Anolis sagrei: one gene and its partner. The protein of the gene in region 2 purifies or fractionates together with the protein of the main gene of each other region. This does not show direct contact. Links are inferred from orthologs where the notes say so. Each region holds a gene or a part of one and is shown on either strand. Other genes may lie near its edges.

Region 1 (10,580 bases), on a different chromosome or scaffold from region 2:
TAGAATCAATGCTGTTTGATGCCAATTTAGCTGTCTTGGCTCCATGCAATGGAGTTACAGTTGCTATCATAAATGGGGTGATTTTGTGCTATTATGTTTGTATCTATCGTTGCACTGAGGCATTTAATGTTTGTCTTTATTGTTTGTTGGAATCCGCTCTGAGTCCCCTCGGGGAGATAAGGCGGAATATAAATAAAGTTTATTATTATTATTAGAGTTTGATGAGGCAGCAGCACTTTAGTGCAGAGAAAACTAAAGCTGCAGTTCCCTAATTCTGCAGCAACCAATAAAGTGTCACCACTGTATTGATTTTACAATGCAGATGCATTCATTTTAGTGTAGATCAGGTATGGGCAAACTTCAGCCCTCTGGGTGTTTTGGACTTCAAATCCCACAACCTGTTAGTAATTGTGGGAGTTAGGCTGTTAGGAATTGTGGGAGTTGAAGTCCAAAACACCTGGAGGGCTGAAGTTTGCAAATACCTGGTGTAGATCTATACTAAAACCAGTGCAGTTTGGATCTGCTATATTGGAAACAGTGAGCGAAACATATACACACAGGCAGAGAACGTCCTCAGAGATTGAAGGAATATTTTAGACAGGTAAGAATCAGAATTGTTTGGCACCTCTTTAACTGCTATAGCCCAATGCTAGGGAATCCTGGGAGTTGTAGTTTGGCATGTCACCAGCCCCCTTTGGCAGAAAAGGCTAAAGACCTTCCCATAATTCCATAGAACTGACCCATGGAAGCTAAAGGGGGTGTCAAACTGGATTAACTTTACAATGTAGATGCATTGATTTCTCAGGATAGAATACATATTAAAACCAGCACATCTATTGGAGATGGGTAGTGAGACATAGACACATCTTACGACAGGCACGTTAAGAGTGTATAATGCAGGCATGGACCAACCTGGGACCTCCAGGTGTTTTGGACTCCAACTCCCACCATTCGTAACAGCCTCAGGCTCCTTCTTTTCCCCCTCAGGCGCTTAAGGGCCTGAGGCTTGTAGGAATAGTGGGAATTAAAGTCCAAGGCACCTGGAGGACTGAAGTTTGCTTATACCTGGTATAGATCTATACTAAAACCAGTGCAGTTTGGATCTGCTATATTGGAAACAGTGAGCGAGACATATACACACAGGCAAAGAACTGCCTCAGAGGTTGGAGGAAGGCACATCTTAGGACAGGTAAGAATTAGAATTGTTTGACACCTCTTTAACTGCCATTGCCCATTGCTAGGAAATCTTGGGAGTTATAAGTTGGCATGGCACTAGCCCCCTTTGGCACAAAAGGCTAAAGACCTTTGCATAATTCCGTAGAACTGACCCATGGAAGCTAAAGTGAGTGTCAAACTGGATTAACTTTACAATGTAGATGCATCGATTTCTCGGGTTAGAATACATACTAAAACCAGCACACCTATAGGAGATGGCTAGCGAGACATTGACACATTTTAGGACAGGCAAGTTAAGAGTGTATAATGCAGGCATGGACCAACTTGGGACCTCCAGGTGCTTTGGACTCCAATTCCCACCATTCCTAATAACCTCAGGCTACTCCTTTTTCCCGCTCAGCCGATTAAGGGGCCTGAGGCTGTTAGGAATGGTGGGAATTAAAGTCCAAAATACCTGGAGGGCTGAAGTTTGCTCATACCTGATGTAGATCTATACAAAAACCAGCTGAGTTTGGATCTGCTATATAGGAAACAGTGAGCGAGACATATACACACAGGCAAAGAACTGCCTCAGAGATTGGAGAAAGGCACATCTTAGGACAGGTAAGAATTAGAATTGTTTGACACCTCTTTAACTGCCATGGCCCATTGCTAGGAAATCTTGGGAGTTATAGGTTGGGATGGCACTAGCCCCCTTTGGCAGAAGAGGCTAAAGACCTTCCCATAATTCTATAGAATTGACCCATGGAAGCTAAAGGGGCTGTCAAACTGGATTAACTTTACAATATAGATGCATCGATTTCCCAGGGTAGGATCTATACTAAAACCAACAGAGTTTGGATCTGCTATATTGGAAACCTTGAGTGAGACATATACACACAGGCAGGGAACATCTTTGGAGATTGGAGGAAGAAACATTTTAGGACAGGTAAGAATTAGAATTGTTTGGCACCTCTTTCACTGCCATGGGCCAATGCTAGGGAATCCTGAGAATTGTAGTTTGGCATGGCACCAGCCCCCTTTGGCACAAAAGTCTAAAGACCTTCCCATAATTCCATAGAACTGACCCATGGAAGCTAAAGAGGGTGTCAAACTGGATTAACTTTACAATGTAGATGCATTGATTTCCCAGGGTAGGATCTACACTAAAACCAACAGAGTTTGGATCTGCTATACTGGAAACCATGAGCAAGACATATACACACAGGCAAAGAACTGCCTCAGAGATTGGAGGAAGGCACATCTTAGGACAGGTAAGAATCAGAATTGTTTGACACCTCTTCAACTGCCATAGCCCAATGCTAGGGAATCCTGGGAGTTGCAGTTTGGCATGGCACCAGCCCACTTTGGCAGAAAAGGCTAAAGACCTTCCCATAATTCCATAGAACTGACCCATGGAAGCTAAAGAAGGTGTCAAACTGGATTAACTTTACAATGTAGATGCATCGATTCCCCGGGGTAGAATACATACTAAAACCAGCACACCTATTGGAGATGGCTAGTGAGACATAGACACATCTTAGGACAGGCACTTTAAGAGTGTATAATGCAGGCATGGACCAACTTGGAACCTCTATAATTCTACAGAACTGGCCCATGGAAGCTAAAGGAGGTGTCAAACTGAATTAACTTTACAATGTAGATGCATCAATTTCCCAGGATAGAATACATACTAAAAGCAACACACCTATAGGAGATGGCTAGCGAGACATTGACACATTTTAGGATAGGCAAGTTGAAAGTGTATAATGCAGGCATGGGCCAACTTGGGACCACCAGGTGTTTTGGACTCCAACTCCCACCATTCCTAACAGGCTCCTTCTCCCCCTTTCCCCCAGCCGCTTAAGGGGCCTGAGGCTGTTAGGGATGGTGGGAATTGAAGTCCAAAACACTTGGAGGGCCCAAGTTGACCCATGCCTGCTGTAGATTTATACTAAAACCAGCACAGTTTAGATCTGTTTATATTGGAGATGGCTAGCGAGACATTGACACATCTTAGGACAGGCAAGTTAAAAGTGTATAATGCAGGCATGGGCCAACTTGGGACCACCAGGTGTTTTGGACTCCAACTCCCACCATTCCTAACAGGTTCCTTCTCCCCCTTTCCCCCAGCCGCTTAAGGGGCCTGAGGCTGTTAAGGATGGTGGGAATTGAAGTCCAAAACACTTGGAGGGCCCAAGTTGACCCATGCCTGCTGTAGATTTATAGTAAAACCAGCACAGTTTGGATCTGTTTATATTGGAGATGGCTAGCGAGACATTGGCACATCTTAGGACAGGCAAGTTAAAAGTGTATAATGCAGGCATGGACCAACTTGGGACCACCAGGTGTTTTGGACTCCAACTCCCACCATTCCTAACAGGCTCCTTCTCCCCCTTTCACCCAGCCGCTTAAGGGGCCTGAGGCTGTCAGGAATGGTGGGAATTGAGTCCAAAACACCTGGAATGGAGGGCCCAAGTTGGCCCATGCCTTCTGTAGATTTATACTAAAACCAGCAGAGTTTGGATCTGTTTATATTGGAGATGGCTAGCAAGGCACTGACACATCTTAGGACAGGCAAGTTAAAGGTGTATAATGCAGGTATGGGCCAACTTGGGACCACCAGGTGTTTTGGACTCCAACTCCCACCATTCCTAACAGGCTCTCCCCCCTCCCTCAGCCAATTAAGGGTCCTGAGGTTGTTAGGAATGGTGGGAACTGAAGTCCAAAACACCTGGAGGGCCCAAGTTGGCCCATGCCTGCTGTAGATTTATACTAAAACCAGCACAGTTTGGGTCTGTTTATATTGGAGACGGCTAGCGAGACACAGACACACAGACAAGGAACTTCCTCGGAGAATGGAGAAAGTAGGAGGCATTTGGAAGCCCCTTCCTCGCTAGAAGGACGACTAGGCCGAAGAGGAGAAAGCAAAGCTCAGAAGAAGAGTCTTGGAAGTGGGGAGAAAAGGTGGGAAAGTATCCTAGTGCCACATTGGAGGGGCCATCTACACCGAGCATGGAACGCAGTTTCAAACCGGTACAGAAGAAAGTGCAGGCGATTGACAAGAGGACATCCATAGGAACCCATTTGCGGCCCTCGGGGAGGCGCACGTTGAGGGCGTCCTTTTGCGCGCTTTTGTGGGCATTCCCCCCTCGGTTTCGACCCGCATTGAATGCTGAGTGCAGACGGGGGCCCTGAGGGAAGCGGGAGAAAGGTCTAGATTGGGCTGAACGGGGCGGGGAGGCGGAAAGAGGCCCAGAAAAGCCCGCAAGCCAGGCAGGCAGGAAAAGGGCGGCAAGTTCAATATGCGAGGAACGGCTGAGGCGAAGGAAGGAAAGAAGGAAGGAAGGATGGCGGCGTGAGGCGGGGAAGGAGACGGAGAAGAGGCGCCAAACAGGCTCCTCGTCGGGAGCCCGAGGCGGCGAAAAAAGGGCCTTTTTCTGTCCCTTACCTGGAAAGCCGTGGCGGTGGGGCTGGAGCCGAGACAAGGCAGAGCCTCCTCTCTCGCCCTCGCTCTCTCTCTCTCGCCCGCCGCGCTCGGACACCACAGCCGTCGCTCGCGCCCGCCGCAGCCAATCAGCGCCCGCCGTGGGCCCCCTCCCTCCCTCCCCTTCCGCAACTCCCCCTCCCACCTCCCCTTCGGCGGCTTCAAAATGGCGCCAACTCGTCTCTTTCCGAGGGACCCCGCCGCTGAGCGGAGAGGCCGGCGCCAAAGTGAGGCAGCAGCGGCCCCTGCAGGTTGGGAGAGGAAGCGCAGGGCGAAAGCTCAACCAGGCATGGGCAAACTTCGGCCCTCCGATCCCCCTGCAGGTTGGAAGAGGAAGCACATTGCGAAAGCCCTTGGAATGGGGCTTATTTATTTCTCATGTCAGGGCAGCCAGTCAATTATGTTACATTTCTGACAGAACAAAGCAAACAAACAGAGAAAATACAAAATGTGTGAGTTTGGTAGTTGATTAAATGCCCTTTGACCAGTATCAAGGTGCTGGCGTTAGCCTATAAAGCCTTAAACGGTTCTGGCCCTACTTACCTCTCCGAACGCATCTCCACCTATGAACCGACCAGGACATTAAGATCGTCCAGGGAGGCCCTGCTCTCGGTCCCGCCTGCGTCACAGGCACGGTTGGCGGGGACGAGAGACAGGGCCTTCTCGGTGGTGGCCCCTCGGCTATGGAATGCCTTACCTGTAGACATCAGACAGGCCCCTTCGCTGCTGGCGTTCCGGAGGAAGGTTAAGACCTGGCTCTACGAACAAGTGTTTGGCTAAGCAGTGCAACTGAACACAGGAAGACAGTAAAATTGAACATAGGAAATGGTACAAGGATTATGAGAACGGATTCTGATTTGTTAATGAGGCGTTATGATATGATGTTGATTGTTTGATTTTGTCTGCTGTATATGATGTGTTTTAATCGCTTTATTGTTGTGATAACCCGTATTGTATAAACCGCATTGAGTCGCCTAATTAGGCTGAAAAATGCGGTATAGAAATAAAGCAAATAAATAATAAATAAATATCTGCCCACTTGGAGTGCTTCTGGTGTTGCTGCAAGAAGGTCCTCCATTGTTCATGTGGCAGGGCTCAGGTTGCATTGCAGCAGGTGGTCAGTGGTTTGCTCCTCTCCGCACTCGCATGTCAAGGATTCCACTTTGTAGCCCCATTTCTGAAGGTTGGCTCTGCATCTCGTGGTGCCAGAACGCAGTCTGTTCAGCGCCTTCCAAGTCGCCCAGTCCTCTGTGTGCCCAGGGGGGAGTTTCTCATTTGGTATCAGCCATTGGTTGAGGTTCTGGGTTTAAGCCTGCCACTTTTGGACTCTCGCTTGCTGAGGTGTTCCAGCGAGTGTCTCTGTAGATCTTAGAAAACTATGTCTGGATTTAAGTCGTTGACGTGCTGGCTGATACCCAAACAAGGGATGAGCTGGAGATGTCTCTGCCTTGGTACTTTCACTATTGGCTGCCACTTCCCAGCGGATGTCAGGTGGTGCGATACTGGCTAGACAGTGTAATTTCTCCAGTGGTGTAGGGAGCAGACACCCCATGATAATGCGGCATGTCTCATTAAGAGCCACATCCACTGTTTTAGTGTGGTGAGATGTGTTCCACACTGGGCATGCATACTCAGCAGCAGGGTAGCACAGCGCAAGGACAGATGTCTTCACTAAACCAGCATTTCTCAGCTTGGGGGGAGGGGGGGAACATGACAGAAGCCTTCTCGCAGGATTGCAAGACATCCGGGCATCCCCTGGGCAACGTCCTCGTAGACAGCTGATTCTCTCACTCCAGAAGCGACCAGAAGCGACTTGCAGCATGCAAACAAGCAAGCAAATTTTATTTTTTATTTATTTCGAGTACTTCAACCCCCCCCTCAACCCCCTAGGGGGGACTCAGGGCGGCTTACAACCAGCACAATTCGATGCCAACAATTCAACATAGCAGCAGTAATCACAAATAGTTAAAAACAATCAATTAATACAATAACAACTAAAAGTAAAGCCAATCTAGTGGCTAACATTCACTGAGTTCTAAAAATCCGTAAGTCCATTCAGCATTATCATAGTCCTTTCCAAACTCTGGTCGTCATTACCTTCTCAGTCTGTCGGATTACCCAAAGGCCTGGTCCCATATCCATGTTTTCAACTTCCTTCTGAAGGAAAGAGGGGATGTTGATGACCTAATTTCCCCGGGGAGTGAATTCCACAGGCGAGGGGCCACCACTGAGAAGGCTCTGTCCCTCTTCCCCACCAGCCTCAATTGTGATAAAGGTGGGGCCGAGAGCAGGGCCTCCCCAGAAGATCTTAAGCTCCGAGGTGGGACATAGAAGCAAACAAGCAAGCAAAACAACCAACGGACCTTTTCAGGACCAACCATAACAATAATCTCAATCAACATGTCAGCTGCCAAAGAACAACTGCTCTATAAACTGTGCCAAGATAAGAAATGTGATGTGCTGTGTGTCCAAGAAACACACAGGAATTAACAACAGAAATGACCAAAAGTTCCAGGAATGGTCTTAGTAGCAGAAAGACCACATGCGCAGTATAGAAGCGCTGTCTTTATAAAACCAGGCCTCCAAGTCAGCAGTGCCCACAATACTGAAGAAAACAATGTCGAGGTTATAACAGTAAAGTTTAATAACATCACCTCTGTGTACAACCCCCCAAATGAAGAGTTCTGCTTCTCCTCCCCCAAGAACTTTGACAGGCACCAAAGGGCGGTAGTAATTGGTGACTTTAACAGCCATAGTCATGTATGGGGCTATGCTCAAGAGGACAGAAATGGAGAGGCTGTCCTGTCCTGGTCTGAACTGCACAAACTATCACTCATCCATGATAGCAAGCTCCCACCATCCTACAACAGCAGGAGATGGCACCGAGGTTATAACCCAGACCTCTTATTTGTAAGCGACAGCTTTGAAAGGCAGCAGATCACAGGAGCTGTCTTTATAGACCTGTCAGTGGCTTATGATACTGTAAACCACCGCCTCCTCCTGAGAAAAATGTATAATATCACAAAGGACTACCATCTCACCCGCTTCATAGGAAACCTGCTACAAAACAGGAGCTTTTTTGTTGAGTTCCAGGGCCAGAGAAGCAGATGGTGGAAACAGAAGAACGGCCTGCCTCAGGGAAGAGTGCTTGCTCCATCCATGTTCAACATCTACACAAATGACCAGCCACTGCCAGAAGGGACAGAGAGTTTAATCTATGCAGATGATTGTGCCATTACCGCTCAAGCAGGGAGCTTTGAGATGGTTGAACAGAAGCTCTCCAAAGCTCTAGATCAGGCATGGGGAACCTTCGGCCCTCCAGGTGTGGTGGACTTCAACTCCCACAATTCCTTGAGGCCAAGGTAAGCCTTTGGGGCGAATGCCGAGCCTCAAGGAATTGTGGGAGTTGAAGTCCACCACACCTGGAGGGCCGAAGGTTCCTGACCCCTGCTCTAGATGCTCTTACTGCCTATTACAGGGAAAACCAGTTGATCCCTAACCCATCTAAAACACAGACATGTGCTTTTCATCTCAAGAACAGACAGGCATCCCGAGCTCTGAGGAAGAACAGACTGCTGAACAGACTGCGCTCTGGCACCACGAGATGCAGAGCCAACCTCAAGAAATGGGGCTACAAAGTGGAATCCACCACATGCGAGTGTGGAGAAGAGCAAACCACAGACCACCTGCTGCAATGCAACCTGAGCCCCGCCACACTAGGCATGCATACTCAGCAGCAGAGTAGCACAGCGCAAGAGCAGATGTCTTCACTGTATCTGGTTGTGATCCCCAGGTTGTGCCAGTCAGCCATTCAATGATGCCATTCATCCATCTTGCCCTTGGTCAGCCTCTCTTCCTTTTTCCTTCAATTTTCCCCAGCATAATTGTCTTCTCTAAGCTTTCCTGTCTCCTCGTGATATGGCCAAAGTACTTCAACTTTGTCCTGCATATCAGATATTAAATTACGACTCATAACAGTCCACATCAGCTCTAGTTAAACATATACCACCCAATAGTCGCCATCTGCTCACCCACAGAAAACCATATTTAGTAATCGAGAGTTATGGACCTTATTTTAGGTCTTGCGGCCCACAGGTTTGGAATCAAGCATGGGCAAACTTTGGCCCTCTGACCCTGCAGGTTGGGAGAGGAAGCGCAGGGTAAAAGCCCTTGGAATAGGGCTAAACCAGGCATGGGCAAACTTCTGTCTTCTGGGTGTTTTGGACTGCAACTCTCACAATTCCTAACAGCCTACCGGCAGTTAGGAATTGTGGCAGTTGCTGTCCAAAACACTCAGAGGGCTGAAGTTTGCCCATGGATGGTAAAGTTCATCAAACTCGCAAGACATGAGTTTGACCAATGTAATCTACACTATAGAATTAAGAAAGTTTATTTATTTATTTACATTTATATCCCGCTCTTCTCACCCGAAGCGGACTCGGCGTCTTACATAATTGGCATTATTCCATCCCCAAACAACAACAAGAATTTAAAGCAAGTAACACTTTAAAACAACTTTAAAACAATATATGTAAACATTAGATGACTATTGTGCATAGATTCAAAGCCAGCTAATCAAACAATCATATTCATCAATCCAGGGTCAATTCCCACCATGAACATTCCACAGAAATATAAATCTCACTTGCCTAGTTTCCAACAGACATCTCAACCTCAGAGGATGCCTGCCATAGATGTGGGCAAAACATCAGGAGAGAATGCTTCTAGAATGTGGTCATACAGCCTGGAAAACTCACAGTAAACCAGTCAGAGGTTTATTACAATTTGGTCAGAAAGGATTGAAGTACATGCAATTTGCTTCTGAAGGAGCAAGCATAAACATACAGAGAAATGCAGGACATCTTATACAGTTCTGGTTTCCCACTCCCTCCCCTGATTGGCTGAAAAAGAGGCTGACTAGGATCCGTGCATGGATTGGCTGGGGATTCACAGCCTGCAGGAGGACATTCCCATGGTGGGAGAACAGTAGCTGGCAGTTGGTTAGTTCACAGAACCAATCAATTTCATAGGCATCCTTTGGGAGGTCCATGAGGAAACAATGGTGTAGATATGCTGATGTTTTTCTAATTAACTTAAGTGTCCAGTTCTCTGTGAGACAATGGTGCAAGACCCAAAAGACAAAGGTGTTGTTTCCAGACAATCAAGGGCTTGGCTACTGACACCAGGCCCGTAGCCAGGATTTCGTTTCGGGGGGGGGGGGGCTGAATTTTTTTCAGGGGGGTTTCGGGGGGGCTGAGTTTCGGGGGGGGGCTGAGTCTGAGTGAAAGAGGGTCTAGCCTAGCAAACCTTTTGTATCATTACCCCAATACCCCCATGCATATGGGATATATTGAGTATGGTGATCAGATCATGATATGAATAAACATAACAGTTTAAATAATTCACCAGTAAGGCCTTTTCGCGAACCACCATGAGAATTTCGGGGGGGGGGGGGGGATGAAGCCCCCGACCCCCCCCCCCCCCCCCCCGGCTACATGCCTGACTGACACTGAGAAATAAATTGATCTGCATCTCTTAAGTCTCCGTTTCCATGAGAGTGGCCGAATCTCAGCCTCAGTTTAAGTGGAAAAACATACTGAACTTATTTTGTTGGTAAAGAAAATCATCTATATATATATATATAACTAGCTGTGCCCTGCCACGCGTTGCTTTGGCCTATAGTAAAACTTATCAAAGTTGAGGTAGATATCTGGACTATTACGAAAGAGAGGTACCTACCTATTCCTTCCCCCTTTTCCTCCCCCTTTCTCTCCTTTCTTCCTTCTCTACCTCTTTCTTTCTTTCCTTCTTTCACTACTTGGTTTCATTCTTCTCTCTTTCCTTCATTCCCTCCCCCTTTCTTCCTTTGCCTTTCTTCCCTCCCTGTTTGCTTCCTTCTTTCACTTTTTATTTCCTTTTATTTCACCACCATCATAAC
Region 2 (10,449 bases):
TAATAACGCATTCTCATAGAAATAATAGATACATAGATGCTTTGAGTCTCCTTGTCGAATATACATAATATACATAATAATATACATAATAATAATAATAATAATAATAATAATAATAATAATGATGATGCATTCTCATAGAAATAATAGATACATAGACGCTTTGAGTCTCCTTGTGGAATATACATAATAATAATAATAATAATAATAATAATAATAACGCATTCTCATAGAAATAATAGATACAGAGACACTTTGTATCTCCTTGTGGAGTATATAATAATAATAATAACAATTACAATAATAATAATAATGCATCCTCATACAAATAATAGATACATAGACGCTTTGAGTCTCCTTGTGGAATATACATAATAATAATAATAATAATAATAATAATGATGCATTCTCATAGAAATAATAGATACATAGACTGAGTCTCCTTGTGGAATATACATAATAATAATAATAATAATAATAATAATAACGCATTCTCATAGAAATAATAGATACAGAGACACTTTGTATCTCCTTGTGGAGTATATAATAATAATAATAACAATTACAATAATAATAATAATAATGCATCCTCATACAAATAATAGATACATAGACGCTATGAGTCTCCTTGTGGAATATACATAATAATAATAATAATAATAATAATAATGCATTCTCATACAAATAATAGATACAGAGACACTTTGTATCTCCTTGTGGAGTATATAATAATAATAATAACAATTACAATAATAATAATAATAATGCATCCTCATACAAATAATAGATAGACGCTTTGAGTCTCCTTGTGGAATATATAATGATGATGATGATGATGATGATAATAATAATAATAATAATAATGCATTCTCATACAAATAATAAATACATAGACACTTTGAGTCTCCTTGTGGAATAGACATAATAATAAAAATAATTACAACAATAACAATAATGATGCATTCTCATACAAATAATAGATACATAGACACTTTGAATCTCCTTGTGGAGTATACATAAACATAACAACAACAAATTTTCCTAGTTTCCAACAGACCTCACAAACTCTGAGGATACCTGCCATAGATGTGGGTGAAACGTCAGGAGAGAATGCTTCTGGAACATGGCCAGACAGCCCAGAAAACCCACAACAACCCTATTATTATTATTACTACTATTACTATTATTATTATTATTATTATTATTATTATTGGTATATAGTGTACATAGTGGGTTTGACTATAAATAAACATAATATTTATTATACCAATAGTAATATAATAATAATAATAATAATACATTGTAATGCTGATAATAGATGCATAGCTGCTTTGAGTCTCATTTGTGGAGAGAAAAAGCAGGGGATAAATAAATAAATATCATAATAATATCTAATACTAAAAATAACACATGGTTGCTTTGAGTCTCTTACGTGGAGAGAAAAAGCAAGGTAGAAATAAACATTAATAGCAATAATAATACTAATTCTGATAATAATGACTGACCCTTGGGCTCCGTCGGGGCGTGATGGCCGTCTCTTTGACCTGGAGCAAAAAAAGAAAGGCCAAAATGAGACAGACAGATAGAGCGATAGATAGATATAGATAATTGACAGGTGGAGATGATAGATAGGACAGATTGACAGGTAGAGATAATAGATAAAGATGATAGGAATTGATAAAGCCAAATTGATAAAGCCTGACTGACCTGCCGGTTCGATCGCGGCACAATCTTCCTCAGAGTGATGATGGGCTTCTTCGCCTGGAGCGGTGCAGGCGGCTGCCGGGAAATTGCAAAAACTCCAAAGTGAGCTGCTATGTATTCTGGATAATGAAACAATATCTCTATCTATCTATCTATCTATGTCCTAGAGGGTTGGACTGGATGGCCTTTGGGGGTCCCTTCCAACTAGGATTTTATCTATCTACCTTTCAGTTTCTCCACCTATCAATCCATGTCTTGCACATGCGGTCCGCTCATTGTTATTTTATTTTATTGTGTATTATTTTGCTTTATTGCTTTTTTTTAAACTCATACGTTGTATATATTTTATTGTGTTTTGGTTTTATTTTATTGTAATATGCTGTTGGGCTTGGCCTCATGTAAGCCGCCCCGAGTCCCCATTGGGGAGATGGTGGTGGGGTATTAAATAAAGATTATTATTATGTCTATCTATCTAATCTATATTATCTCTATCCATTTATTATTATTATTATTATTATTATTATGTCTATCTAATCTATACCATATCTATCCATCCAATGAATCTCTATCTATATTATTATTATTATGTCTATCTATCTAATCTATATCTTATCTATCCATCCAATGAATCTCTATCTTATTATTATTATATTATTATTATTATTTCTGTCTATCTATCTCATCTATATTATATTTATCCATCCAATGAATCTCTACCTACCTTATTATTATTATTATGTCTGTCTATATAATCTATATCTTATCTATCCATCCAATGAATCTCTATTATTATTATTATTATTATTATTATTATTATTATTATTATTATTATGTCTATCTAATCTATACCATATCTATCCATCCAATGAATCTCTACCATTATTATTATTATGTCTATCTATCTAATCTATATCATATCTATCCATCCAATGAATCTCTAGCTTATTATTATTATTATTATTATTATGTCTATCTAATCTATACCATATCTATCCATCCAATGTATCTCTATCTTATTATTATTATTATATTATTATTATTATTATTATGTCTGTCCATCTATCTAATCTATATCATATTCATCCATCCAATGAATCTCTATCTATCTATCTATCTATCTATCTATCTATGTATCTATTTATCTATTTCTTAGATAGCCTTTGGGGTCCCTTCCCACACTAGGAATCAATCAATCAATCCATGTATGTATGTATGTATGTATGTATCTACCTATTTCTTAGAGGGTTGGACTGGATGGCCCTTGGGTGCCCCTTCCAACTTTAGAATCCTATATCTATCTATGTATATCTCTCTTAGAAGCCTCCCCAAAACTCTAGGATGTCTATCTTAGATGGTTGGACTGGATGGGGGTCCCTTCCAGCTTGAAGATTCCACAGGTATTTACATTACGCACCGAACCGACGTCTGCCCCGCCGGGCCGCAAACATGCCTTCCTTTCGGATAAAGACAGAGCCGCCGTGGAAGCCGCTGCCGTGCGTTCGGACCTTCGCCTTGGAGGAGAGGAAACGACGCCTGAAACAAAAAGGAAGAGGGTTAAGACTAGACAGCAGGGGAACTCCAGGCTGGAAAATGGGACCCCCCCCTCCACCCTCCAAGGCAGGAAGCAGCCAGGCTTTGAAGCTGCAAGGCCATTTAGTGCTAATCAAGCTGGCCAACGACAACATTCACACTTGCCTCCAGCACACAAGAGTTCTTTCTCCCACCCTGGGTATCATTCCACAGGTATAAATATATCTAGGATTCCCTCAGGCAGGAAGCAGCCAGGCTTTGAAGCTGCAAGTCCATTCGATGTTAATCAAGCTGGCCAATGACAATATTCAGACTTGCCTCCAGCAGCCAAGAGTTCTTTCTCCCACCATGGACATCATTCCACAGGTATAAACCTATCTATGATTCCCTCATGGCAGGAAGCAGCCAGGCTTTGAAGCTGCAAGGCCATTCAGTGCTCATCAAGCTGGCCAACGACAACATTCAGACTTGCCTCCAGCAGACAAGAGTTCTTTCTCCTACCCTGGACATCATTCCACAGGTATAAATATATCTAGGATGTCCCTCAGGCAGGAAGCAGCCAGGCTTTGAAGCTGCAAGGCCATTTGGTGCTCATCAGGGTGGCCAACAACCACAACCTTCTGAGATGTGGGAGAAATGTCAGGACGGAGTGCTGCTGGAGTAGCCATGGATCAACTTGGGCCTTGTCTCCAGGTGTTTTGGACTACAAATCTCACAATTCCTCACAGCCTCAGGCCCTTTCAGGGCCTGAGACTGTGAGGAATTGTGGGATTTGTAGTCCAAAACACCTGGAGACAAGGCCCAAGTGGATAATACTGTTTCCCAGGCTTGCGGCCTACCTGCCCGGGCCTCTCCTGCGGAGCGAGCCCGCCTTGGCAGGCCGCGGCCTCCTCCCGCCATCGCCTCCTGCTTTCCTTCCTTCCTTCCTTCTCTCTTCCGGCTTTGAAATCGCCCGCCACCTCCACGCAGGAAGTGACGTCACCACAGTGGAAGAGAAGGAAAACAATAGTCAGAGCCGGCGCCATTTTAGGAGAGGCAAACCAAATCCCGCGAGAAATCTCAGCATCCCGCGAGAGTTGGCCGTCGCTTCCCTTTTAATACAAAAAACACCCGACGCCATTTTAGGAGAGGCAAACCAAATCCCGCGAGAAGTCTCCACATCCCGCGAGAGTTGGTCGTCGCTTCTCTTTTAATACAAAAAAAACACCCGGCGCCATTTTTGGAGAGGCAAACCAAATCCCGCGAGAAGTCTCCACATCCCGCGAGAGTTGGATGTCGCTTCTCTTTTAATACAAAAAACACCCGGCGCCATTTTAGGAGAGGCAAACCAAATCCCGTGAGAAGTCTAACCATCCCGCGAGAGTTGGATGTCGCTTCTCTTTTCCCATTTAAGCTACTAATACACAAACTACCCGGCGCCATTTTAGGAGAGGCAAACCAAATCCCGCGAGAAGTCCCCACATCCCGCGAGAGTTGGGTTGGTTGTCGCTTCTTTTTTCCCATTCAGCTACTAATGCACAAACCACCCGACGCCATTTTAAGAGAGGCAAACCAAATCCCGCGAGAAGTCTCAACATCCCGCGAGAGTTGGTTGTCGCTTCTCTTTTCCCATTCAGCTACTAATACACAAACCACCCGGCGCCATTTTAGGAGAGGCAGACTGAATCCCGCGGGAGGTCTCGACATCTCGCGAGACTAGACCTCCTTAGTTTCCTTTTTTCCTGAAGCGACGGCTGGGTTGTGACGCCATCGGCGCGCGACTTTCCCGGAAGAGACGTGGCAGAAGGCGGAAGGAGGCTGAAGAGGAAGGTGAGGAGGGGGAGGCCTGGGAAAATAAGACACACCGGGGAGTTAATGCGGGTTGATACCGCTTTAAATGCCAATAGTCCCTTGATGTGGAATCATGGCAGTGGCTCATCAGAGAGTATTAGTATATTATTGTTGTTAATATGTATATATAATATATAATATATATTAATGTATATATTATTGATGTTACTCCTATATAGATCTGCTGAACTTGCTGACCAAAAGGTCAGTGGTTCAAATCCGGGTAGTGTGGTGAGCTCCTGCTGTTAGCCCCAGCTTCTGCCAACCTAGCAGTTTGAAAACATGCAAATGCGAGTAGAACAGTAGGTTCCGCTCCGGCAGGAAGGTAACAGCAGTCCATACAGTCATGCCAGTGGCCACATGACTTTGATAGTATGTACGGACAACACCGGCTCTTTGGCTTAAATTCACACGTGCATATTATTATTATTATATGAATAATTATAGCTATTACCCCTTATGGCTCAATAGCTAAAAATATTATTATATTAAAATGCAAATATTAAAATGTATTCCTACAAAATGCACATATCAAAATACACAGAACACTGACGGATGTGTGTGTGTATGTATATATATGTATGTATGTATATATATATATAGATATAATTGATTCCTTTTTTCTTTCTCCTGCTGCAGGCTCTGCCATGGGGCTGTGCAAATGCCCCAAGCGGAAGGTGACCAACCTCTTCTGCTTCGAGCACCGCGTCAACGTCTGCGAGCACTGCATTGTCGCCAATCACAACAAGGTAAAGTTGCTGTTGTTGCTGCTGCTGAGTGCACCAAGGGGAATGCCTCTAATAACACTGTTCTACAAATTTTCAGTTTTTCTTAGTTAAGGAAACGAAATGTGCCGTTTCTTAATTAATTTAACATGCTGAATTCAAATATAATAATTAAATGTGTTCATTGGCTCTGGTTTTTATGCAACAGCTATTTCAATTTTCTCCTCAATAGGTAATTCGTTAATATTATGATACTGCGCCTAACCTTACTGCATGTATATAAAACGTGAATGTTTACTAAATTTTAGTCCAATTATATTGCCAATAGTTTATACATGAGAAATATTTATTTAATTAGTCTATTGTTTATGTTTGTGCAGCAAGGAACTCTATTAGTAGGCCTAATGCAGTTGAAAAGTCTGAAAGTTGAAATGTCGCTTTAATCGTGACTTTAGTTTCTATCCTGTTTGCTTCTCTTGACTTTTCTTTTGTAGTCAAGGAGAGGATTCCCTCTTGCAATGCTCCAGCAGGAGTCTGACAGCATTGACGGAGTCCATTGGCCTTGATGTCTTTTTTCCATAGGGCTTTATTTACACACATGCGAGGCATAACGACAGTGAAAAGAACAATGGAAAACGATGTTTAACAATACTGTCTCAGTCTTCAACTGACTGACCCTCACTGTTCAAAAGTCTGGCCTTATAGAGGGCTTTCTGGCTTTTGCACACGGCACTCATACTGTGTCATCAAACTTTCTAGAGTATTCTAGAATCTTCCATAGTGTAAGTCGCAACATGCATTTTTTCAACCATACGTGGTCACGTGATTGCTTATTTCATAAAAACTAGAGCCAATATACATTTTTAAATGTCATTTTTGTTTTCAGCACCCCAAAATCATATAAGAACAACTATTTTCAGGCCCAAAACTTTTTCTCTGTTGAACAGTGTAATAGAGGCTTATGATTATATGATGATGATGATGATGATGATGATGATAATTATAATTATTATTATTATTATAATGGTGCTTTTCTTTTTCCTCCCTCCCTTGCGTTGCAGTGCATTGTCCAGTCTTACTTGCAGTGGCTCCAGGATAGCGACTACAACCCCAACTGTCGGCTCTGCAACACCCTTCTCTCCACCAAAGAGACCGTCCGCCTCGTCTGCTATGGTCAGCTCTTGCGTTTCGTGCCACTGTGCTTGAGCTAGGTCCGGTCCGGGGGGGGGGGGGTCACCCCAAAGGTCCGGGTGTCATCAGTTGGGAGCCTCCCCCCTCCAGAACCAAAGAGAGGGGCCATCTTGACTCCTGCACTGTGCTTATAATATAATATAATGTTGATAATATTATAATGCAATACAATATAGTACTACTACTAATAATATATTATAATTATATATTTTATATTAAATGGAATATTCTTAATAATATTACACTATATTGTTATAGTATTCTATCTATATAAATAAAAATGCAATGTTTGTTTGTGGGAAAATAATATATTGTTTATACTTATAATATTGATAATATTATAATGTAATACAATATAGTACTACTACTACTAATAATATGATATTATGATTATATATTTTATATTGAATGTAATATTACTAATAATATTACAGTATATTGTTATAGTACAATCTATATAAATAAAAATGCAGTGTTCGTTTGTGGGATTGACATAACTCAAAAACCACTGGATGAATGGACACAAAATTTGGACACTATATCCCTAAGAGACCAACGAGTGACCATCAGTCAGTGGAAAAGGACTTTAAAACCCCAAAAAACTAAATGACAGTACAGAAAAAAGGGAAGAGGGAGGGAAGGAAGGAGAGAAAGAAAGAAGAGAAAGAGGGAGGGAAAGAAAGAAGGAAAGAGAGAAGGAAAGAAGGAAAGATGTAGAGAAGGAAGGAGGGAAAGAAAGAAAAAAAGGAAGGAAAGAGAGAGAGCGAAGGAAGGAGGGAAAGAAGAGAAAGCGGGAGAGAAGGAAAGAAAGAGAGAAGGAAGGATGAAAGCAAAGAGCGAAGGAGGGAAGGAAAGAGACAGAAGGAAGAAAGGAGAGAAAGGGGAAGGAAAGAAAGCTAGAAAAGGAAGGAAAGAAAAAAAGAAGAGAAAGAGGGAGGGAAAGAAAGGAAAGAGAGAAGGAAAGCAGGAAAGAGGTAGAGAAGGAAGGAGGGAAAGAAAAAAAAGGAAGGAAAGAGGGAGTGAAGGAAGGAGAAAAAGAAAGGGAAAAAAAGGAAGGAAAGAGGGAGCCAAGGAAGGAGGGAAAAAAGAAGAGAAAGCAGGAGAGAAGGAAAGAAAGAGAAGGAAGGATGAAAGCAAAGAGCGAAGGAAGGAAGGAAAGAGGGAACGAAGGAAGAAAGGAGAGAAAGGGGAAGGATAAGAAAAGGGGGAAGGAAAGAAAGCTAGAAAAGGAAGGAAGGAGAGAAAGGAAGGAAGGAACGAGGGAGCGAAGGAAGGAGGGAAAGAAGGCGAGAAAGCTGGAGAGAAAGAAAGAGAAGGAAGGATGGAAGCAAAAAGCAAAGGAAGGAAAGAGGTAGAGAAGGAAGGAAGGAGAGAAGGAAAGGAAAGGAGAAGAAGGAAGAAAGGAGGGAGCGAAGGAAGGAGAGAAAGAGGGAGGGAAGATTGGCCACAGCAAAGTGTGGCGGGTACAGCTCGTGTAATATATAATATTAATATTGTGCTCTGGTAATAATATAAAACATTGTATTTACTTTTCCCTTGTAAGCCGCTCTGAGTCCCCTTTGGGGTGAGGAGGGCGAGCTGGGCCGCCTTTCCGTGGGTCCATGTCCTTTGGCTCTTTCCTCACGGGGGTCCCTCTTCTTCCTCTCCCTCCTGCAGACCTCTTCCACTGGTCGTGCCTGAACGAGATGGTGGCCCACCTGCCGAAGAACACGGCCCCGGCCGGCTTCCAGTGCCCCGGTTGCCAGGGACCCCTCTTCCCGCCCGCCAACCTGGTCAGCCCCGTGGCCGCAGCCCTGACCCACAAGCTGGCCTCCGTCAACTGGGCCCGCCCCGGCCTGGGACTCCCCCTGGTGAGAGCAGGAACAGAACTAGCACTATCAATATCTATTATGGTTGCTTATTTATGTATTCATTACTAGTGTTAGAATGCATTATTATTACTATTATTACTATTATTATTATTATTATTATTATGTTTATGTATACGCTTTTCTCTCCACAAGGAGACTCCAAAGTATTTATACACCTATTATGATGATGATGATGATGATGATGATGATGTGTATTTATGTATTTATTACTAGTATTAGAATACGTTATTATTTTTATGTTTATGTATACTCTGCTTTTCTCCACAAGGAGACTCAAAAGTGTTTATCCACTTATTATTATTATGTTTATTATGTTTATTTATGTATTTATTACTAGTATTAGAATACATTATTATTACGTTTATTTATACTCCGCTTTTCTCTCCACAAGGAGACTCAAAAGTGTTTATGCACCTTTTATTATTATTATTATGTTTATGTTTATGTTTATTTATATCCTGCTTTTTCTCTTCACAAGGAGACTCAAAGTGGCTATGTATTGATTATTCATATTAGAATGTATTTTTATGTGTGTTTATGTATTTATTTTTAGTATTCAAATGCATTATTATTATTATGTTTATGTATACTCCGCTTTTCTCTCCACAAGGAGACTCAAAAGTGTTTATGCACCTATTATTATTATTATTATTATCTTTATTTATGTATTTATTACAAGTATTAGAATACATTATTATTATGTTTATTTATACTCCGCTTTTCTCTTCACAAGGAAACTCAAAAGTGTTTATGCACTATTATTATTATTATTATTATTATTATTATATCCTACTTTTTCTCTCCACAAGGAGACTAAAAAGTGTTTAAGCAACTATTATTTGTATTAGAATGTATTATTATTATTATTATTATTATTATTTGAAACACAACAACATTAGTACACAGCAAACAAGATCACTATGCTGGGTGATGATGATGATGATGATGATTATTATTATTATATGCGTATTCCATTTCCACAAGGAGATTCAAAACTGCTATGTATCTATTATTAGTATTAGATTATTATTATTATTATTATTATTATTATTATTATTATTATTATTATTATTATTATTATGTATACCCTGCTTTTTCTCTCCACAAGGAGACTCAAAGTGGTTATCTATCTATTATTAGTACTAAAATGTATTATTATTATTACTATTATTATTATTATTATTCCATTCAGATTGATGAGATTGAGGCGGTTCTAGAGGCGGACCCTCACAACGCGACGGACTACACCGACTGGTCCAGTTTCACCAGTGAGTGGGGCCCCGATCGGAGTGAGAAACAGGTGGTGGGATCGAGGCGGCCGACTCTTGAACTTTGAGGGGCGGCTTTTTGTGTCTCTCCTTTGGGAAAGCGGCCCCGGGGTCCTTTCACTTGACACAGCTCAATGGGAAGGAGCCAACACTCTGCTCTTCTCCTTCAGCCCTGAGCTCCGAGGAGGCGGCCCACCAGAGTGCCTCTCCTGCGCTCGGTCCTCCTCCTCCTCCGCAAGCCTCACAAAACCTCAGCAATGGCGCCCTGATGCAGGAACCGCACACCGTCATCAGCATGAAGGACCTCAACGCTGATCCGGTCACCATCAA

Evidence for each region. The genes of interacting proteins can lie anywhere in the genome.
Region 1: the proteins of CDCA5 (region 2) and PDS5B purify together in Homo sapiens (affinity purification with western blotting; 4 studies listed by BioGRID and IntAct, with this or other methods). This does not show direct contact. The link is inferred for Anolis sagrei from reciprocal best matches to the Homo sapiens genes CDCA5 and PDS5B.

What each region holds. Positions count from the first base shown.
Region 1 is NC_090023.1:33,551,300-33,561,879, reverse strand, and holds the start of PDS5B (sister chromatid cohesion protein PDS5 homolog B), read right to left. Parts: upstream 4,722-10,580; 5' UTR 4,607-4,721; intron 1-4,606. UniProt on the Homo sapiens protein: Regulator of sister chromatid cohesion in mitosis which may stabilize cohesin complex association with chromatin. May couple sister chromatid cohesion during mitosis to DNA replication.
Region 2 is NC_090032.1:22,245,050-22,255,498, forward strand, and holds the start of CDCA5 (sororin), read right to left. Parts: upstream 4,185-10,449; 5' UTR 4,135-4,184; coding exon 4,074-4,134; intron 3,238-4,073; coding exon 3,119-3,237; intron 1,780-3,118; coding exon 1,708-1,779; intron 1,545-1,707; coding exon 1,506-1,544; intron 1-1,505. Other genes in the region: ZFPL1 (zinc finger protein-like 1), read left to right, coding at 5,712-5,813, 6,851-6,962, 8,637-8,830, 10,044-10,119, 10,290-10,449. UniProt on the Homo sapiens protein: Regulator of sister chromatid cohesion in mitosis stabilizing cohesin complex association with chromatin. May antagonize the action of WAPL which stimulates cohesin dissociation from chromatin.